Linked DNA regions of Caenorhabditis elegans. The protein of the gene in region 2 purifies or fractionates together with the protein of the main gene of each other region. This does not show direct contact. Each region holds a gene or a part of one and is shown on either strand. Other genes may lie near its edges.

What was found.
Region 1: the proteins of lec-4 (region 2) and pfn-3 fractionate together in Caenorhabditis elegans (co-fractionation; one large-scale study listed by BioGRID). This does not show direct contact.
Region 3: the proteins of lec-4 (region 2) and C47B2.2 fractionate together in Caenorhabditis elegans (co-fractionation; one large-scale study listed by BioGRID). This does not show direct contact.
Region 4: the proteins of lec-4 (region 2) and F44D12.6 fractionate together in Caenorhabditis elegans (co-fractionation; one large-scale study listed by BioGRID). This does not show direct contact.

Annotation. Positions count from the first base shown.
Region 1 is NC_003284.9:1,078,513-1,082,387, forward strand, and holds pfn-3 (Profilin-3), read right to left. Parts: upstream 2,138-3,875; 5' UTR 2,114-2,137; coding exon 2,003-2,113; intron 1,402-2,002; coding exon 1,354-1,401; intron 1,308-1,353; coding exon 1,184-1,307; intron 1,132-1,183; coding exon 1,034-1,131; 3' UTR 918-1,033; downstream 1-917. Other genes in the region: LIM/homeobox protein lim-6, read left to right, coding at 1-35, 718-827. UniProt on the Caenorhabditis elegans protein: Binds to actin and affects the structure of the cytoskeleton. At high concentrations, profilin prevents the polymerization of actin, whereas it enhances it at low concentrations. By binding to PIP2, it inhibits the formation of IP3 and DG.
Region 2 is NC_003281.10:3,770,284-3,775,225, forward strand, and holds lec-4 (Galectin), read right to left. Parts: upstream 3,044-4,942; 5' UTR 2,978-3,043; coding exon 2,975-2,977; intron 2,776-2,974; coding exon 2,660-2,775; intron 2,516-2,659; coding exon 2,404-2,515; intron 2,359-2,403; coding exon 1,981-2,358; intron 1,482-1,980; coding exon 1,239-1,481; 3' UTR 1,142-1,238; downstream 1-1,141. Other genes in the region: acy-3 (adenylate cyclase), read right to left, coding at 4,888-4,942.
Region 3 is NC_003279.8:12,961,215-12,966,491, reverse strand, and holds C47B2.2 (Phosphoribosyltransferase domain-containing protein), read left to right. Parts: upstream 1-1,912; 5' UTR 1,913-1,921; coding exon 1,922-2,088; intron 2,089-2,675; coding exon 2,676-2,917; intron 2,918-3,443; coding exon 3,444-3,525; intron 3,526-3,836; coding exon 3,837-4,041; 3' UTR 4,042-4,450; downstream 4,451-5,277. Other genes in the region: tba-2 (Tubulin alpha-2 chain), read left to right, coding at 229-921, 972-1,492, 1,546-1,678; fbxa-140 (F-box domain-containing protein), read left to right, coding at 5,031-5,083, 5,138-5,277.
Region 4 is NC_003282.8:10,031,234-10,035,653, reverse strand, and holds F44D12.6 (CDI domain-containing protein), read right to left. Parts: upstream 2,302-4,420; 5' UTR 2,292-2,301; coding exon 2,235-2,291; intron 2,096-2,234; coding exon 1,692-2,095; intron 1,312-1,691; coding exon 1,179-1,311; intron 1,129-1,178; coding exon 850-1,128; 3' UTR 774-849; downstream 1-773. Other genes in the region: msd-3 (MSP domain-containing protein), read right to left, coding at 1-16.

The DNA.
Region 1 (3,875 bases), on a different chromosome or scaffold from region 2:
TCGAAGCTCTGATGATGAGGAAGAGTCTGTGATAAGTAAGTTGAAGAGAATAGGTATAGATATTGGCGAGTTGTGGCTTTACAAATTGAAATCAGTTTTTCAAAAAGTTAGAAAGTTTGTTCCGTAATGTATCGAGAGCTATAGGTACAAAAGAAACATTACACACGCCTGGTGTATATCAGTCTAAACTACACCATTTTTGTCTATTCTCGAATACCTAGTTAGACCACAGGTGATGCTGAAAGTTTCTAACAATCGGCAATTTTGAGAAGCCCGGTCAGAGCTCTAATCTTTGCACGCCGAAAACACTTATGTTAGTCCGGTTAAATTGGTCAATCTTTTCTTGACTAGCAATCCGGTGTAAAATAGATTGATCCACGTTTTGGGAATATGAGGGTTCCCGAGCCCGGCAAAATTGCGAACCTTAAAACAATCAAATTCAAGAAGGCTTCACGCGTAGTACACATGGTACGGCTAGCCGATACGGTCCGTGCTTGTGTCGGCTAACCATGCCAGGTGAATTCCTATAGATTTGTATAACCGGTGAGGTGTCGGGCGATGCAGGCCCAACTCGAAATTTGCAGCAAGATCGGCCTAAGCTTCACTATACTTTTACATAATTGTTCAGTTGGTCAGTCCCGGATAGCTGAACCAAAAGGGCTAAAACTATAGACTTCTAGAATTCAAACAATTGTTCTTATCAAAAAAAAAATTCAGACCTGGACGCTGACGAGGTGGAGACTTCGGAAACTTCAAGCTACACGGACCCAATTCAAAAACTGTATAATATGACATCTTCCCAAATTTATTTTCCATATCACTCTTGACTTTTTTTGTTCGGAAATCAAACCACCCGCTTTATTTTGCTTTTCACCTCATATTATTTATTTCGAGTTGCTATTTTTTTGAATTTTGAGAAAGATAAATATTTATTTCATTATTTATTTATATAAAAAAGAAACGAAATGAAAAAATACAAAAAAAAAAATGCAAACATGGATGGCAAATCGGCAGGAGGCTTCGGGAATTGTGATCAGTACTTGATGGACCTGAAGTAATCGGCCAGGGCTCCGGTGGTCTTGCTGCACATTTCTGGTTGGAGTCCTTTCTCGTAGATGGAAATAATAACGGCTAAAAGTTTCAGAGATTGTTTAAATCAGTCTAGTAATCCTAGTTAGTTCACCTTGGATAGTTTTGTAGATGAAAAATCCAGATCCTCCTTGCTTTCCAATTATTCTGTCATTATCTGCGTTGAGGACCAAGAATTTTTGTCCTTCCAAGCGGAGGCCGGTTCCAAGAAGAGCATCCTGAAAATTAGAGGGTGAGAATGATATTAAGAGAAGCAAAAGGTACCAAGGAGGTGAAGGCTTTTCCTGCGGCGACGGCTTCTTCGACGGAGATCTGGAAATACGTTACTATTCAAATTGTACTGCTTGATCTACTACAGTGCTCAGTGCCCCGACTCTAGCCTCAACTTATGTTTTCCAAAAAATAACGAAACCTTATTTTTAGGACTAAAATAATCCTACACTACAATATTCCTACACCATCTTCACCGACGATTCCTTCAATAGATAAAACGTATTTTTGAACAATAGTAACACTAAAGTACTTCTACAGTACACCAACACACCTTTCCTACATGAAGACTATTTTTATAACAAGCTAAATATGCTTTCAGTAACAAAACTCACGCAGGCGGTATTTGTTCATTATCTGTCAATGCACCATGTACTAATCTTTCAAAACTGGTGCAGACAAAATATAGATTTTGATAGAAGTTTACAGTGTTTTTAGATCAGAGATGAGATTCAAAGAGAGGTGGTGTATCGACCAGGAGTTGCATTCCTAGAGAAATACCTAGAATTCTAGCCTAAGAAAATTGCAAGTCCTTTCCAGTTTTAATATCTCAAAAAAGTTCTAACACCAATCACAAGCTGATCATGCCACTGAAAGTCGAGATTTTGGCAACTTGACAATTTTAAAAACTTTGAAAACTTACATTAAAGTTATCACTCTTTGCCCATACAGCTCCGTCGAATCCAAGAATGGCAGCCTTGCTCACATTTCCAGACCCGATAAGGTTATTGTTGATAATATCAGACCACGACATGTTTTCGTTTTGTGTGTGCTGAAAACTTTGAAAGTAAAAGTGAAAGTCTAGAAGCTCAAAACGTGGAAAACGGGGCACAATTGTGCAGTGCGTGGGAGAAAGAGAGAGAGATATGGAAACAGATGACGCTTGGTTTCTGACGTTTTCCAAAAAATCATGAAGAAATTATTTTGAAATAGCAGTTTGGAGAGATGAGTAATGAACACATGTTGATTAGATATCTGATCGCATGTCTGGTAAACGATTATGAAATCAGGTCTAACTACCTGCTTAGGAGAAGCTAAAACTTGGTTTTATAGAAGCTAAAACTTGGTTTTACAACAAAATTTTTTTTATAATTCGTTGTTAGGTAATTCGATGTCTATAAAATATTATTAGAATTTTCAGCGGATACTTTTAGATGGAAAGCGGCAGTTATTTTTATAGCAGTTTTGTTTTAGAAAATGACGTAAAATTTTCTACAAATTTGTGCCACCTTCAAATTTCTCAACTTTTACAAAGCATTATAGCAACATTAAATTAATACGACCAGGTGCTTAACATCAATATTGAAATCAGTGAAAGTTTGAGTTTGAGCCAAGAATTACAGAGCAAATAAAAAACCTTGAGATTTCTTGTTACCAGTACTGGAGAATTTAATTATTGAGGTTAACTAGAAAGGTCTCAAATCTAAAACCTGTCTGAGATTCAAAAAAAGATAGAAAGAATAGGCCCAGTATTTTTATCCTTAAATTTGAAATACCCACAATTGGATAGTTACTTTTAGGAATACTGTAAAAACCGGGACCAGAAGTGTTATCATGACTCGACATCTACCGGGTTACGCTCCGCATTGTGCTTCCATCAGTAGTGAGTTAGCTTATTGCAAGACCGAATCCCGGTAGATGTCCGGCCATGATATCATTTGGGGTGCTGATTTTTGGCATTTCCTCAGAAAATTATCCTCAAAGTGGATGCCTACTAAATTTCAAGATTTTCACGTACACGCACACCAGTTTTGTTACATTAAATGTAGTATTCGAAAAAAACATATATAAAAGACTTTAGAGCCACAGCAGGTAAATTATTTCTTAACAAAATTTTCATTTTTGGTCAGTTTTGCAATTTACCACTTTTTGATATTTTCAGAAAATACGGCAATATGGGGAAGACGTCATAAATAAAAACAATTCGAAAAAATTAACAAAAAGTGAGAAATCTAACTTTCAAAAAGTTTCAATAAACGTTCGTTTCAAAACCGGGACGCAAAGAGATCGGAAGATATTTGCGTGGGGTTCGTTGCTCGCTGAGCCTCTGTTGGACATAAAATGTGAGACTAAGACTGAATTGCCGCTCAATAGCCGTAAGACACCAGTTTGTCTCCTTGCCTCCCGTGTGTGTGTGTGTGAGAACAGTGTGTTGATCCTGAAGAGAGCGCGCGCCGATTGGAACAGTGTACGGGGGAATGAAGTACCGCAGATAGATGAAGGGCGGGAGAGGAGTCGCTGTGGCAGAGGAGAGCCTATCCCCGGGGCAGAACTCGACAATCATAGTGTAAAGCTGTCGTTTGCTCTATGTCTTTTTCTCTCATTTGCTTTATCTGCAGGTTCCACTGACGCGACGAAAACATTCAAGAGAGAGAAAGGGAAACGGATAGCCCCGCTCACCGACGGCCATCGAAATTTCAAAAACTATTGATTGATTTGCAAGGAAAGTGTCTAATGAGATCAATGTCGAATTTTTGATTTGCGGCTTGCACGCTGAAACATAAGGATGCTTTTTA
Region 2 (4,942 bases):
TGTTCGTACCAGTACTAGTATTTAAATAAAAGATTTTTTCAAGTTTTAAGTGCTTTCAGAATTTAATCACAAAATTGTTCTATTTCCCAGAAGCTTCCAGTTCAATAAAAAAACTGACCTACAGGCATATAAATAACCACATTTTTTATTGGGTGATCTTGATAATTTTTAAAAATTAAAAATTAATATACGACTTGACAGACAAAAAATAGATTGACAGACGAAAAATAGATTGACAGACGAAAAAATAGATTGACAGACGAAAAAATAGATTGACAGACGAAAAATAGATTGACAGACGAAAAATAGATTGACAGACGAAAAATAGATTGACAGACGAAAAATAGATTGACAGACTAAAAATAGATTGACAGACGAAAAATAGATTGACAGACTAAAAATAGATTGACAGACGAAAAAATAGATTGGCAGACGAAAAATAGATTGACAGACGAAAAAATAGATTGACAGACGAAAAAATAGATTGACAGACGAAAAAATAGATTGACAGACGAAAAAATAGATGAGGCCCCACGAAAAGGGGAGCAGAACGAAAAGGGGATCTGCAAAAAGGGGATCTGCGAAAAGGTGAGATACGAAAAGGGGAGCTGGTACTGTGCCAAACGCACAAAACGCTTTTTTATTCTCATTCAACGCACGACTTTTTTTGTATTTTACGCTAAACAACACATTGTCTCGAAGTTGTCACCACATTTTTTATTGGGTGATTTTGTTAATTTTAATAACTTTGAAAATTAGTATCTGCCTTAAAATGAACTTTTTTGAAACTGTTTCGTCGGGGACTTGTTTCAAATTGTAAGCGCTTTCAGAATTTAATTAAAAAAATTTTCTAGATGCCAGGAGCTTCCAGTTCAATCAAAAAAACCCAATTTCAGGCATATAAATAACTCAATTTTTTTCCAAACTACAATACTCCTACAGCATTCATACAGTACTTCTACAGTACTACAGCTCCCTGTTCCTACAGTACTACTACAGTACCCTGACCATATCTCCCCCCTAACCCTTAACCAATATCCCTTCAAAACTTTGCAGACTACAAAGACTACATAGACTACAAACTATGGACAGACGAACTGAATTTTTCAATATATAAGTAATGTTAATACATACAAATAAAAATCAATTCGAATTTATTTTTAAAAAAGCAAGAAGATTATTTAATTTACATATTAATTGTTATACATTATGCAATTATTTCCCAGAAAACGCGAAATTTAATGCGAAAACTCAATACCAGTGACCTCAACCTCTCCATCAATTCTGAGTCCAATGTAGTCACCAATTGGATTCTGGGTACGGTGCTGGAAAGTTCCGAAGCGTTCGCGATTGATGAAGATTTGAATGGAATATTCTTCGTTGACAATGGTCAAATCGAATCCGACGTCCTTCTTGAATGGGAATCCACCTTCACGTTCCTCGGTGTCCCAGAATCCATTACGGTGAGAGTTACGGACGACCTAGAAGAAAAACATGGTGAATTCAAAATGATAATTATGTGGGGAACACGTAGAGGGAGAGGGACCTAATTTTTTTGATTATAGGGAAAAGTTAAATCAAATTTTTTAAAGTTTCTTTATTGTAAAAAATATTTTTTTTTTACTGTTTCGAATTTTTCTATTTTTATTTTCTTTCAGAAACACCAATTATTAGTCGAAAATTGAAAATCGTAAAGGAGAACTTGTGTTTTTGTAATTTTTTTAAACTACTAAAATCAGAATATTATCGGAAATCTCAGTTTTTTTCGATTTGCAAAAATAATTTTTTAAACATTTATTAATGCAAAACAATTAAGACACTGAGAGTACCAAACTTATCAGAATTGTTTTCAAAAACTAAAAAACAACTGTTTCAATAAATTGTTTAAATCTCGAATTTTCGATTTTGAAGAGAAAAAACGCGCAAAATCAAAATGCAAAAAACTTGAGCAGCCGACACTTCCCGAGTGCCAAAACTCACCGCCTTATCCTTGATTCTTGGATTGAAATGGAACAAAATATCCTGATTACGAGCGACCAAATCAAGTGACCAACGATCACCCTTTGGAATACCATACAAATGAACACGTTGTCCCTTTTCAAGAAATCCAGCTGGGAATGCGGTCTCCCATGGAAGTTTATAGAATCTTCCACCCCAATGAATTCCATTCAAGGAAAGGTCACCACGAACAGAAAGATATTCAATGGATTGGAATGGAAGACGATGTTTGAACTCGTGGATCTTCTTGTTGTCAGCCGAGATTTCAAGGCCTTCGTCGAGAACTCGGATGCGAAGATCGAATTCTTGTCCAGCTTGGAATGGAAGAGACTCGCGCTCTTCTTTTCCCCACACTCCATTCTGAAAATCACGGGATTAAAGTTATATATTTCTAGTAAAATGTACCTCGTAAGAGTTGAGAATAACTTTCTTTTCCTTAAAATTGAGCTTCAAGTGGAGGATCACTTGGGTGTTTGGTCCAATTTCACCACCTCCCTGGAGAAGATTGATCTCGGCTCTGAAATATGGCTTGTTTCAAAAGTTCACCTAAAATATGATACATTCAGTGCTTTTTATTGCCTGCCTCCAGGCACCAGACAGAAAAAATGTAGGCACGTAGGTAGGCACCTAGTCAGCTAATAGGAAAACCCCCTGAACTTACACCTGTGCTCCCTCGTTGATCTTTCCGTGAACATTCAATGTCTGTCCAGCGTCGAGTGGTTGTCCGAGACGAGACGTGTACGGAACTGGGAGAGGGGTGTCGTTCTCGTGAGAGCTCTAAAAGGAGCGTTTTATTTTTTGTGAAAATTATTTTAAATCGTTGAATGTTAAATTTCAAAATCCAAATTAGATATTAAAACTTTTAACTACAACAATAACGGTTGAATATGTTTTACAAGTTATAAATTTTATGAATACTTTTTTTTAGATAAATCTGACATCTAGTTCAAAAAATTTCAATATTTTCTAGACTTACCATTTTTGGATAGCAGTCGATATAGCGTGTCAACAGCAATGAAGACTAACTTTCAAGTCAGAGGCCGACCTGGAAAGAGGCGGGCTAACTTGTGGACAAACAGACGAGAGAGTAAGAGAAACAAGAGATTGGAAAATGAAATGCCGAAGGACAAAACGAAAAACAAAAAATATCGGGTAAACAAGAGATTGGCAGAGAAAAAGAGTGTTTGTGTTCTTTTGAATTTTTTGGGGGATAGGTGGTCGCTGAGCGCGGAGGACAATAAAAGTGTTTGAACTGCACTGAGACTGAGAACTGATGAAATTTCAAAAGGATGGTGAGTAATATGCGAAGTGATGTATAGTGATATTGTGATATGAAAAGAAAAAACAATTTGAACTCTGAACTCTATAGGACTTTTGAAATACTCCAGTTTCAGCAATCTGTATCTCTGTAATCTTTAGTTTTACCAAAAAAATTTTCAACAGCCAATTTACGCATCTAGTTGTTATCTATATTTCAATAGTTGAAAATTTTTTAATATCTTCAAAAACAGCCGAGATATAAGCTTATAAAGTTGAGCAGATTAGAAAAAAGGGGAAAATTTTTCTAACTGAGATATTCGTTTCAAAAATTTTTTTAATGTTAAAAAAATGTTTTTTACTCAAAAAATTTCAAAAATTATTTTTAGATTAAAAAAATTACAAGAAACTCAAATTCTCAACTTCATTTTTATCAAAATTCCAAAAACTTATTGAAAACATATTTTACAATTATTACAAAAACATGAAAAAAATCTGCTAATATTCTACAAAAATTTCAAAACAAAATAGTAGATCAGATTTTTTAACACTTTCATAAACAGACTGACGACACCCTTTCTCAAATCGTAAACAATATGTTTTCAGAACAATTAAAGGTGAGTCAAGAGGGCAATAAACATGTAAAACTGTAAAAATTGCCGGCTTTTGGTCATCTCGTTTCAGAAAAACGGGAATTTTTTTTAGAATGGTTTTTGATATGATCATTAAATTCAACTTACAGTTCTTATTGGTAATAATATTTTAACTGGTTAAAAAAGGAAATAATCTACATACATAATTCGAATTTTTAATTTACAATTTTAAAACTACTTCAAAGAGAGCTGAGATAAAATCTGTTGAAATTATGATCAGAAGTCATATTTCAAATTGAAGTAACTTATCTGCTTGCTTGATGCCTACCTGCCGCCTGCCTCGCAAGTTTTTTGTAAGCAAAAGTCAAGTTTAGGTAGCTTCAGGCGTCTACTTTTGCTGTTCAAAATGCTCCTCTCATGCTATTTTGCTACTTTTCTGTTGGTAATCCCTCTAGATTTCTCATCAAATTGCAGTCATATAGGCGGTTGGAAAGTGGGCAGAAAATTATTAAGCAGGCAGGTAGGCATCAGGAACCATGGACGTCTTACTTCATCTAAATAATGCTCAGAACTCCGTTGTCACCTGTCGAAAAAAGTTCAAAAAGCTATCCATTTCAACTAGTGGCAGTTCATCTCCGTTTCCTCTTCCGTCTCAGTTTTAAATTCAAAAAGTGACCCTGACACTGACTCATGTTTCTTTTCCACCTCTTCTCCCTGGCCTTTTGTCGGCGACTTTATGTTTGTGTGGTTTGAGGGCCAAATTTGAAAAATATTCATTTTGAAAACTAATTAGCACCGCGTATCGCAGAGAACAATTAAGTATTGCATAACAATAAAGTATACCGGGATACAAAAAAGGGAAGGCAACAAGTTGAGCAAAAATATATTGGTACTTTTTTGAGAGACCCGTTTTTAGAATCGGTGAGGATTTTGAGGAGAAACATAGAGATTCAGGTAGAGGTGAGGCTATCAGGTAGGCATGCCTACCTGAAAGACCTAGAGAATAGTAAGAAACATATATTTGAAAAAAATGAAATGATTAGTCCTGATCAATATCATCAAATGTTGAAAGTTGAAAGTCTCCGAAATTGTTT
Region 3 (5,277 bases), on a different chromosome or scaffold from region 2:
TCCGCTCTCCACTGGCGCCCCGCTATTTCGTCATCATTTTTTTGCAATCGATGACTTGTCCACCGCGGTGTCCGATGTTGGGCTATGTTGAGAGAGCGCGCGCGCTCGTGCGTTCTCGGCCCTATTTGGGCTCACTTTCGTCTCTGCTCTCACCGCAATCGTTTCGTTCTCATATAACAATTGTCTTTCTCTTTTAAAACTTTATAATTTTCTTTTTCAGAAAAGAAAATGCGTGAGGTCATCTCTATCCACGTCGGACAAGCCGGAGTCCAAATCGGAAACGCCTGCTGGGAGCTCTACTGCCTCGAGCACGGAATCCAGCCCGATGGAACCATGCCAACTCAATCAACGAACGAGGGAGAGTCGTTCACCACTTTCTTCTCAGACACCGGATCCGGCCGTTACGTTCCAAGATCCATCTTCGTCGATCTCGAGCCAACTGTCGTTGACGAGATTCGCACTGGAACCTACAAGAAGCTCTTCCATCCAGAGCAGATGATCACCGGAAAGGAAGACGCCGCTAACAACTACGCTCGTGGACACTACACCGTCGGAAAGGAGCTCATCGACACCGTCCTCGACAGGATCCGTCGTCTCGCTGATAACTGCAGTGGACTCCAAGGATTCTTCGTCTTCCACTCCTTCGGAGGAGGTACCGGATCCGGATTCACTTCGCTTCTTATGGAACGTCTTTCCGTCGACTACGGAAAGAAGTCCAAGCTCGAGTTCTCCATCTACCCAGCTCCACAGGTCTCAACCGCCGTCGTTGAGCCATACAACTCGATCCTCACCACCCATACCACCTTGGAGCACTCCGACTGCGCCTTCATGGTCGATAACGAGGCCATCTACGACATCTGCCGCAGAAACTTGGATGTTGAGCGACCAAGCTACACCAACCTCAACAGAATCATCTCCCAGGTTTGTTGAGCTCAATTTGATTGTTGTATTCTAATGTTCTCTTTTTACAGGTTGTCTCCTCAATCACTGCTTCCTTGAGATTCGATGGAGCCCTCAACGTTGATCTCAACGAGTTCCAGACCAACTTGGTGCCATACCCAAGAATTCACTTCCCATTGGCCGCCTACACTCCACTCATCTCTGCTGAGAAGGCCTACCACGAGGCTCTGTCCGTCAGCGACATCACCAATAGCTGCTTCGAGCCGGCTAACCAGATGGTCAAGTGTGATCCACGTCACGGAAAGTACATGGCTGTGTGCCTCTTGTACAGAGGAGACGTCGTTCCAAAGGACGTTAACACCGCCATCGCTGCAATCAAGACCAAGAGAACCATCCAATTCGTCGATTGGTGCCCAACCGGATTCAAGGTCGGAATCAACTACCAGCCACCAACTGTTGTGCCAGGAGGTGATCTTGCCAAGGTGCCACGCGCCGTCTGCATGCTCTCCAACACTACCGCCATCGCTGAGGCCTGGTCTCGTCTCGACTACAAGTTCGACTTGATGTACGCCAAGCGTGCCTTCGTCCACTGGTATGTTGCCCGTTAAACTATACTTTTCAAATATTCAATGTGTTTCTTTTCAGGTACGTCGGAGAAGGTATGGAGGAAGGAGAGTTCACCGAGGCTCGTGAGGACTTGGCTGCTCTCGAGAAGGACTACGAAGAGGTCGGAGCTGACTCCAACGAGGGAGGAGAAGAGGAGGGAGAGGAGTACTAGATGCTCCCACAATCAACTGCCTGGCGATTGACTTTTAATTTATTACTGCAGTTCGATCGTCATAAACAATGTATTATGAAGTATTTTATTTATATAATGTTTTTTGTTAAAAAGAGAAAGAATGAAAGTCGGAACACTTTACGTTTATACCGAGTTGAGTGCCGCAGAGCAAACATGTACAAGCCGACAGTATTTGAGCAGCAGACGCTTGTTCTGCTCATCGATCAGTATTAGATTACAGAAATGGCTGGGCATGTGAATGGAACATGTGCTCCAGTGATTCCAAAGGTTGGTGATGAGGAAGACGGTGTCGGGCAGTTGGTGGCAAATCTGAAAGAGAAGGGAACAAATTTTGTTCTTTTGAAGAAGACTCCACAGATACTTGAATTGCAGACAATTTTGAAAGATAGGTATGAAGTTTGACTGGGAATAGACTGAAGCCTCAAACATTTTATGGGTGAAAATTTAAAGAAAGGGGCTGAAAACTCATATTTCCAAGCTCTTTTTCCAGATTTTGCGGAAAAATTAACGATTTTCGGTATTTTTGCCGGAAAAACTTGTTGATTTTAAATAAACTCCTTTTTTGCCTTAAAAAGCGATTTTCTTGGAATTTAGATTTTAAAAATCCGTTAATTCACAAATTTTCGGGTCAGAAACGGCATTTTAAGCGATTTTGCCAGTAAATTAGGAGAAAAATAGAAAACGTTTTCATTTTTTGGCCTTTTTGCCGTGAAATTAACTGAAATTTTGATTAAAAAACGTTTTTTTTTGTTAGAAAACATGAATATATTTATTTATATAAATGAATTTTTCAAGGATTTTCTCGGATTTTGAGTCAAAATTCCGATATTTTCATAAATTTCCGGGTCCGAAACGGTATTTTTCGTGATTTCCTCGCAATTTTAGAAGTTTTCCTTGTAAAAATTGGTTGAGGCTCAGAGAATCTTGTAGTTTGTAGTTTGTAGCCCCATAGCCTCAACCATCTTCCAATTTCCAGATCAACAAATCACTCGGATTTCGTATTCAACGCGGATCGTCTGATGCGGCTTGTAATTGAAGAATGTCTCAATCATCTTCCATTCACTGAGCACACAGTTACCACACCAACAGGCTTCAAATATGAAGGAATTCAATTTAATCGTGGAAATTGTGGAGTATCGTTGTGTAGAAGTGGAGAGGCGATGGAAGTTTCATTGAGACAGTGTTGTCGGTGTATTCGAATTGGAAAAATTCTGATTGGTACGGGAAATTGAGGATATCGAGAGGAATTTGGGAAATTTCCTAGAAAAGGCGAAGAAAATTGAGAAATATAGAAGAAAATGGCGAAAAATCACCAAAATCATTGCGATTTTCATCAATTTCTCCCTGAAATTACCTGGAATCTCTTATAAATGCAGATTTCTGCTTGAAAAATGGAAAAATCTGGTGAATATCCAGTTTTTATAGATTTTCTCCTGAATACCCCTCAAAATCTGTGAAAAGTCTGACTTTTCCTTCAAAAATACCTCTAATTCGTAGAGAAACTCGTTTTTTCAGCCGAAAAATGTTTTTTTTTTTAAATCTGTAATAAATATGTACTGTTCTTATGGTAAAATTCCTGAAAAATATATTAAAAATATATATAATAGTAAAATTTGCGTTTTTACCCAGAAAAGTGGTAGAAATCGTGAGTTTTACTGAGTTTGTCGAAAACTGGCGATACTTTTTTAAAAGAAAAACCTCAAAACTCGCAAAATTTCCAATTTTCATCCACTTTTTGTTACAGGCGACGAACAAAAAGTGCTCTACGCCAGGCTTCTTCCGGATATCACGTCGCGTCGAGTTCTACTGCTCTACCCAACGATAGGGTACGCTCAGAGACTACAAACTACAAAAAATATCTGGCCGAAATAAATTTGATTGAAAAATCTGAGAAAAAAAACACAAAATTTAATGTCAAAAAATCGATTTTCCCGGCGAAAAATCGTAAAATTCAATAATTTGTTTGACGTAGAAACTTTAAAAATGTCGATCACTAAAACTTCCCCAGAAGGCGAAAAATTGTCTAAAAAATTGAGTTTTTTTTTGTGCAAAAAAAATCTTTTTTTGAAATTTTTTTAACTGAAGAAACATTTAAATTTAAAAAATCACATTTTTATCAAAATTTCCAATTTTTCAGATCTGGGACGACAGTTTGCAAGGCAATTGAAGTCCTAAAAGAGGCACGTGTCCCAGATGAGAATATCTACTTGGTTTCCCTATTCATCTCACCGACTGGACTCAAGAATATAACCAGAAAGTACCCGTATATCACTGTCGTCGCCTCCGATATCACATCTCTCTATCCAAATCATTTCTCAACCAGCTATTTTGGTGCTGTCTAGACTAGTTTTGTGTAGTTTGTAGCCTTTTGACACTACAAACTACATCGTTTCCGTTTCAAATGCAGTATTTTTATTCACTTTTCTCACTTGATCATCTCTTCATTTCTCGTTATTGGTTTGTAGTTTGTAGTTATTGTAGTCTTCTTTTTTACTTTTTCACTGTTGATTTCCCCTATTTTTTTTTGACAAAATGTTCATTGAATTTCCGCATAACTAAATTCTTTTGTGTTGTTTTCGGTTCATTAAACATTATTTTAAGATGCAATGACTACGGTAGTCATTTTCTGAGTACATGGTGTGCGTACAGGGCGCTATATTTTACGCGCAAAGTTGAGAGTGAGATTTTTCCTCATTTTTTGGATTTTCACTGCAAATTTAAGAAATTTTACGAAAATAAACGTTTTATTTCAAATTCTATTTGCTACTTTGCATGCAAATTGTTTTTTTTTCATTATATTCTGAAAATAAAATAAGTTAAAATTAGCCGTTTCAAAAAAAGTTTCCGAAACTACGGTAGTTCTCGGAGTACGCAACTTGCGTACCGGGCATCTCATTTGACGCACAGAATTCCTAGTTTATTGTTTTTGGATTTTCAAAATTTCAAACATAGTTTTTGCATTTTTCCTGTCGTTTTTGTGATTTTTATTTGTGAAAATTTATTAGACAGAAAAGAAATTTTCAGTTTTCACGAAATTTACTGGAAAATTTGTTATTTTACCGTTAGGTAACGTATTTTACAAAGATATTTCACTTTATCCGTATTTTCTTATTGTTTTCTTCACTTCAAACGATTGAAAACTGAATCAATCAAATAAATTTCCTATTTTTCAGGTAATTTGTCAAAATGACTGGCTCATCTCGTGGAATTGTCGAAATGACAAAGAAACTGGATCGATTAAATTGTTAGTGTTAAAATGAAATTTGCATCGGATTCAGTTTAAAATTTGCTTATTTTCAGATCGAAGAAAAGACCACTTACGCTTTTAAGCATGCCAGTTGATGTTATGGAGAAAGTTATGAAGAAAGTGGATCCATACGATTGGTATCAAATTTTGAATGTTAGGCAAATGTTAAAAAAAAACCAAATGAGTTTCAGGATTTCCGTCCGCAATTCCAATCGAAATCTTCGAGATTTCGTCGACAGCCAGCACCTCAAATTGGACATTGATGTTTCTATTGAGGGCACTTTTCACACCATTGATATCAATGGAAATCAATCCTTCGGACCTTTCCATC
Region 4 (4,420 bases), on a different chromosome or scaffold from region 2:
CGGCCGTCAGAGACATCTTTTTGAAACTTTATGTTAAAGTTGTATAAACTGAATAGCAGTCGTTATCAAGATGAACCAGTGACCTTTCGTGAACTTTTGATTTTAAATATTTTTGTAAATTTAAAAAGGTTTGTTAATATCAACTGTCTGCTCCCTTTTGAAAATATAGTTTTTTAAAAGTTATTTACGCTCTCGAGAAGACGTGGAAGAGGTTAAGGAAAAAATAAAAATATAGAAAAAAAAATATTTTTGTAAATTTAAAAAGGTTTTTTTCCGATGTATATAAGGATTTAAAATAAATAAGTCATTAAATATATTTTCTATAACATGAAAAATTCACCGCTAACTGGCGTCAACTAACAATGACGTGTTCAGTTGGAATGTCACTTTTAAAGGTTCGGAATTACTTGAGTTGTTGACTAATAGACACTAAAGGAGTTACTTTGAGATACGCGATTTTTTTTGTCAAGAAAGGAGTACCCGGTTGCAGCGGATATTCGAAAAATACAATGAACACTTTTTCACGGGAAGACATTTCATAAAAAAATTTCCAGTCTCCAAAAGAAGCAGCCGTAGCGGTAAAGAAGGAAACAGCTGCCACGAAAAAAGCTGAAAAAGCCATAATTGAAGAGCTCTCCGCAGCTGGTGCAAGTCGATTTTAAATGAGAAACTTCAAAAATGTGCGGCGGTTACTGATGGGAAGAACGTTTCATTGGTTGTGTGAATCAATTTTTTGTTATTTTGTTGATTTTTCCCCTTTCTTCACTTTGTTGTTATTGTTGAATTATTGTTGAATTGAATTGAAAAAAAACAATTTAAACAAAATCCCATTATTCAAGATTATCACAATCAAACAGAAAACACCGACTTTCCAGATTCTGTATTCGAAGGTGCATTTGCAGTTGCCATTCCAGCTGTCTTTGGAGTAGTTCGTCCCGATTTTGCACCACCGCCGCCGCTCTTCATGGTCTCCTCCTGAGTTGGCTCCAATTTCCGTTCTTTTGCTGATTTTTTGGATGATTTTTGAGTAGGCATCATTGGACCAGGAGTCCGTTGTTTGCTGCGACGAGGTGTTTCTTGCGGTTTTCGGTCGGGCTTCTTGTCGGACAACGGCATTTCAGAGTTCACCTGGAAGATTTTCAAGATTTTTTCACATATGAATAATAATTGATTCAAACCTTCGATCTTTCCTGGTCTTCTTTACTATTTTGGCTATCGATCGTGTCACAACCTCCATCATCTTTCGATCGGCATGCATCATTGCTTCGGATAATAAAGGCCAAACCAGTCTCTCGCCAATGAACATGGGCGCTGAAATTGAGAATTGCAATTGTAGGTAGATAGGCAGGCACGCATGCCGAGCTCGAATGGTTATCTTAGGCAATTTCTAGGCAATTATTGACAGTATCTTAAACATCTCTCAATACAAAACTAGGGTGAAATCAGAAGGCTTCTGAAAAAAGTGCTGCCTTCCAGGAAAGTTACGCTTTGTAGGCACTAAGCAGGCAGACACTTCTTTCGAGAGGATTATCCGGGAAGTAGCAGGTGGTCGAGGGCAGGTAGCGGGAAATCAGAAAAGAATGTAGGCATGTAGGCAGGCATGTAGGCATGAAGATATATCAGCTTAGGCGTAGGCATTGGCTAAGGCTTAGGCATCTTCGCGTTGAAATCTGTAATTGTGATAAACTAACTCTTTCCATTTTTCGTTTCTCTTATCCAACACGGGAACTCTCAACTCCTTCCTGTACCGTTGTTTCGGATGTTGTGGCAATTGCGCAACCATCTTCTTCATCTCTTCCTTCGTGGTCCCATTCGTTATTCTCCGTGTTTGGATTTCCCACTTTGGGAAGTATTGATTGGTTTTATGACGGAGCGCAGCTTCTTTTGCCGCATTCTCATCATTACATCCACCAGGAAGTGTTGGTGTTAGAAGACGAACATTTGCAAGTGGATCCTCTTGAAGTTCAACTGTTTGGATATCTTGAGTTTTATCGTAGTTTGGCTCAGACACAGGTTGCTGTTGTTGGTCTTCGTTCGATGGTTTCGAGTTTTGTCTGCGCACTTTTCCGCCACAAATTGTCATTAAAATGCTAATCTGAAATGTTAAGTTTAGTTATAATTTTACAGACTTTCTGAAATTATAACGGATTCTTTACACATTCAATTTTCGATGTGCGCATGATGCCAACACATCTACTGTGTAAAAACAATATCTAAAAGGTTTTAAAACTCACCAGAAAAACAGACAGGAATGTCCAATATTGACTTATCAAAATATCGAAGACATCCATGATGATAAACAATAGAAATAATTGAATATTTCTCTTTTTTTTCCTTTTTTATTTAAAGTGAGAGAGGGGGAGGGGAAGATTAAACGTGATAATTAGAAGTGTGACCACGTTTTTTTTGCCAGAATGAAAACCCAAAAGTTTAAAAAAGTGTTTTTACCCGAAATATCGTGTTTACAAATTACCTAATTTTTTAAATTTCAAAAAAAATTAGCTCAACTTCTGCAATTTCAGCAAAAAACGGGAGAGCCTGGGGTGTGGGCACTTTAGCTCTCCTGTTGGCTCCGGATACTTTGCTCAACACTCCACAAATTTTCGATCGCATTCACACAATTGATTACTGCATTCGTGAGCAAAGATTGGATGGTCAGATGCCTCACCTAATCACCTGCCACACTATTTTAAATTGATATCAGATAAGATGAATCACAAAATTTTAAGTATAAAAGCCAACCGGCTCTCAATTATTTATGTGAAAATTATGGAAATTCTACGCAACAACTTTAATTATTCCGCGCGATTATTGGCGACTAGTGCGGCAGGGCCTTCGGTTATGGGATGTGCCCGAAAAAAATGGCTGCTTTGCTTGGAATATGGTTGAAGCCGGCCCACAGTTTCCAAGAGTATTCTGGCCTGCGGTCCTCACACCTGGTTCTTAAGCTTGAGTGAATAACAACCGCTAAATCATGATACCCCAATTAGATGACCATACAGGGCAATGTTTTTGGAACAGAAAGAAGCAACAAAAAAAGCGCAAATTGGTTCACTTAAACTCGTGTTATAAATGCTCAAAAAAAGTGTCAGCAATATTTTGCAATTTTTGTGACAATTTTTTTGAACATTTTGATTTTCAAAAACGACCCTCCTTGGCAAGGTCGAGGGGGTTTGAGTGAGAAAAGGCTGATAGGGTGAACATTTTTTCATATGAACCATTAGTTTTCATCAACGTTAAAGTGCTCTAAAAACAAGAATTAAAAAAAGAAACATTCACGTTCACGTCAGGGCTGTGCGGCAACCGGCAACCGAGTTGCCAGTTGCCGAAATTTTTTGGAATCGGCAACTTCGGCAAGTGCCGGTTGCCGAAAATTTTGGGGTTCGGCAACTTCGGCAATTGCCGAACTTTTTTCGGCAACTTCGGTAACTGCCGATATCAATGTCAAACATTCTGTAGCTCAAAAAAAGCATTCGGAGAGCCTGAAAAATGATAATATTTCGCCGTAAATGAGAAAACGACCATTACTTTTTGCCAAAACGCTCAAAAATATAAAAATCTTTAAAACTTGGTGGCCGGTTGCCGAAAAGTTTCCCGAAATTTCGGTAATCGAAAGTTGCCGGTTGCCGAAAATTTTCGGGTTCGGCAACTTCGGCAATTGCCGGTTGCCGAAAATCCCGGTTGCCGCACAGCCCTGGTTTACGTGACCTATTTACCTTTGATTTCTCTGGAGGGGAGGGGGAGAGTAGGTAAATTTGGGATTCGATGACGGAAAATGTTTCTATGTAATTTTTAACTGTCAAAATACATTAGATGGGTAACAATTATTACAAAAAACAAAATGAGGCGGCGCATTTATCTGTTATACATAGAAACAATCAAATCTGAGAGCTCTTCAGGTTAATTTGTCCTGAGAAGTCTAATTGAATGTATAGTAGTTACAAACAATTTGTTTTTACAGAGTATGAAAAGAGTTCTGCAAGACGAAGTATTCAATGTGAAAAAATCAAAATTGGAGAAGAAAGAAATTAGTGTCAAGTTAGCTTACAAAAAATGTCTTCTAAGACAAAACGAGTTGGATATAGCGAGAGAAGTTCAACGTCTGACTGACCGATTGGGAGCAATGATTATTTTGGAGGACAATGACACAATTCGTACGTTATTTGATTATTACAACATGAACAACAAACGTTTTCAGCCGAATTCAATGCACACATAACATTCAAAGGAGATCTTGGGCGCGTTACCGCAGCAATTATCAGTATGCAGCGATGTATTAAAAGAGACGCTACGAGTAGTTCGATTATGCCCATGTTCGAATCGAATGAGAAAATTACTCTTTTGATACCGAAAGACTCCCTGGTGAAGACTTTTGGAAATTGCAACAAGTTCCTTCTCGACTTACAAGTTCTTGCCAACA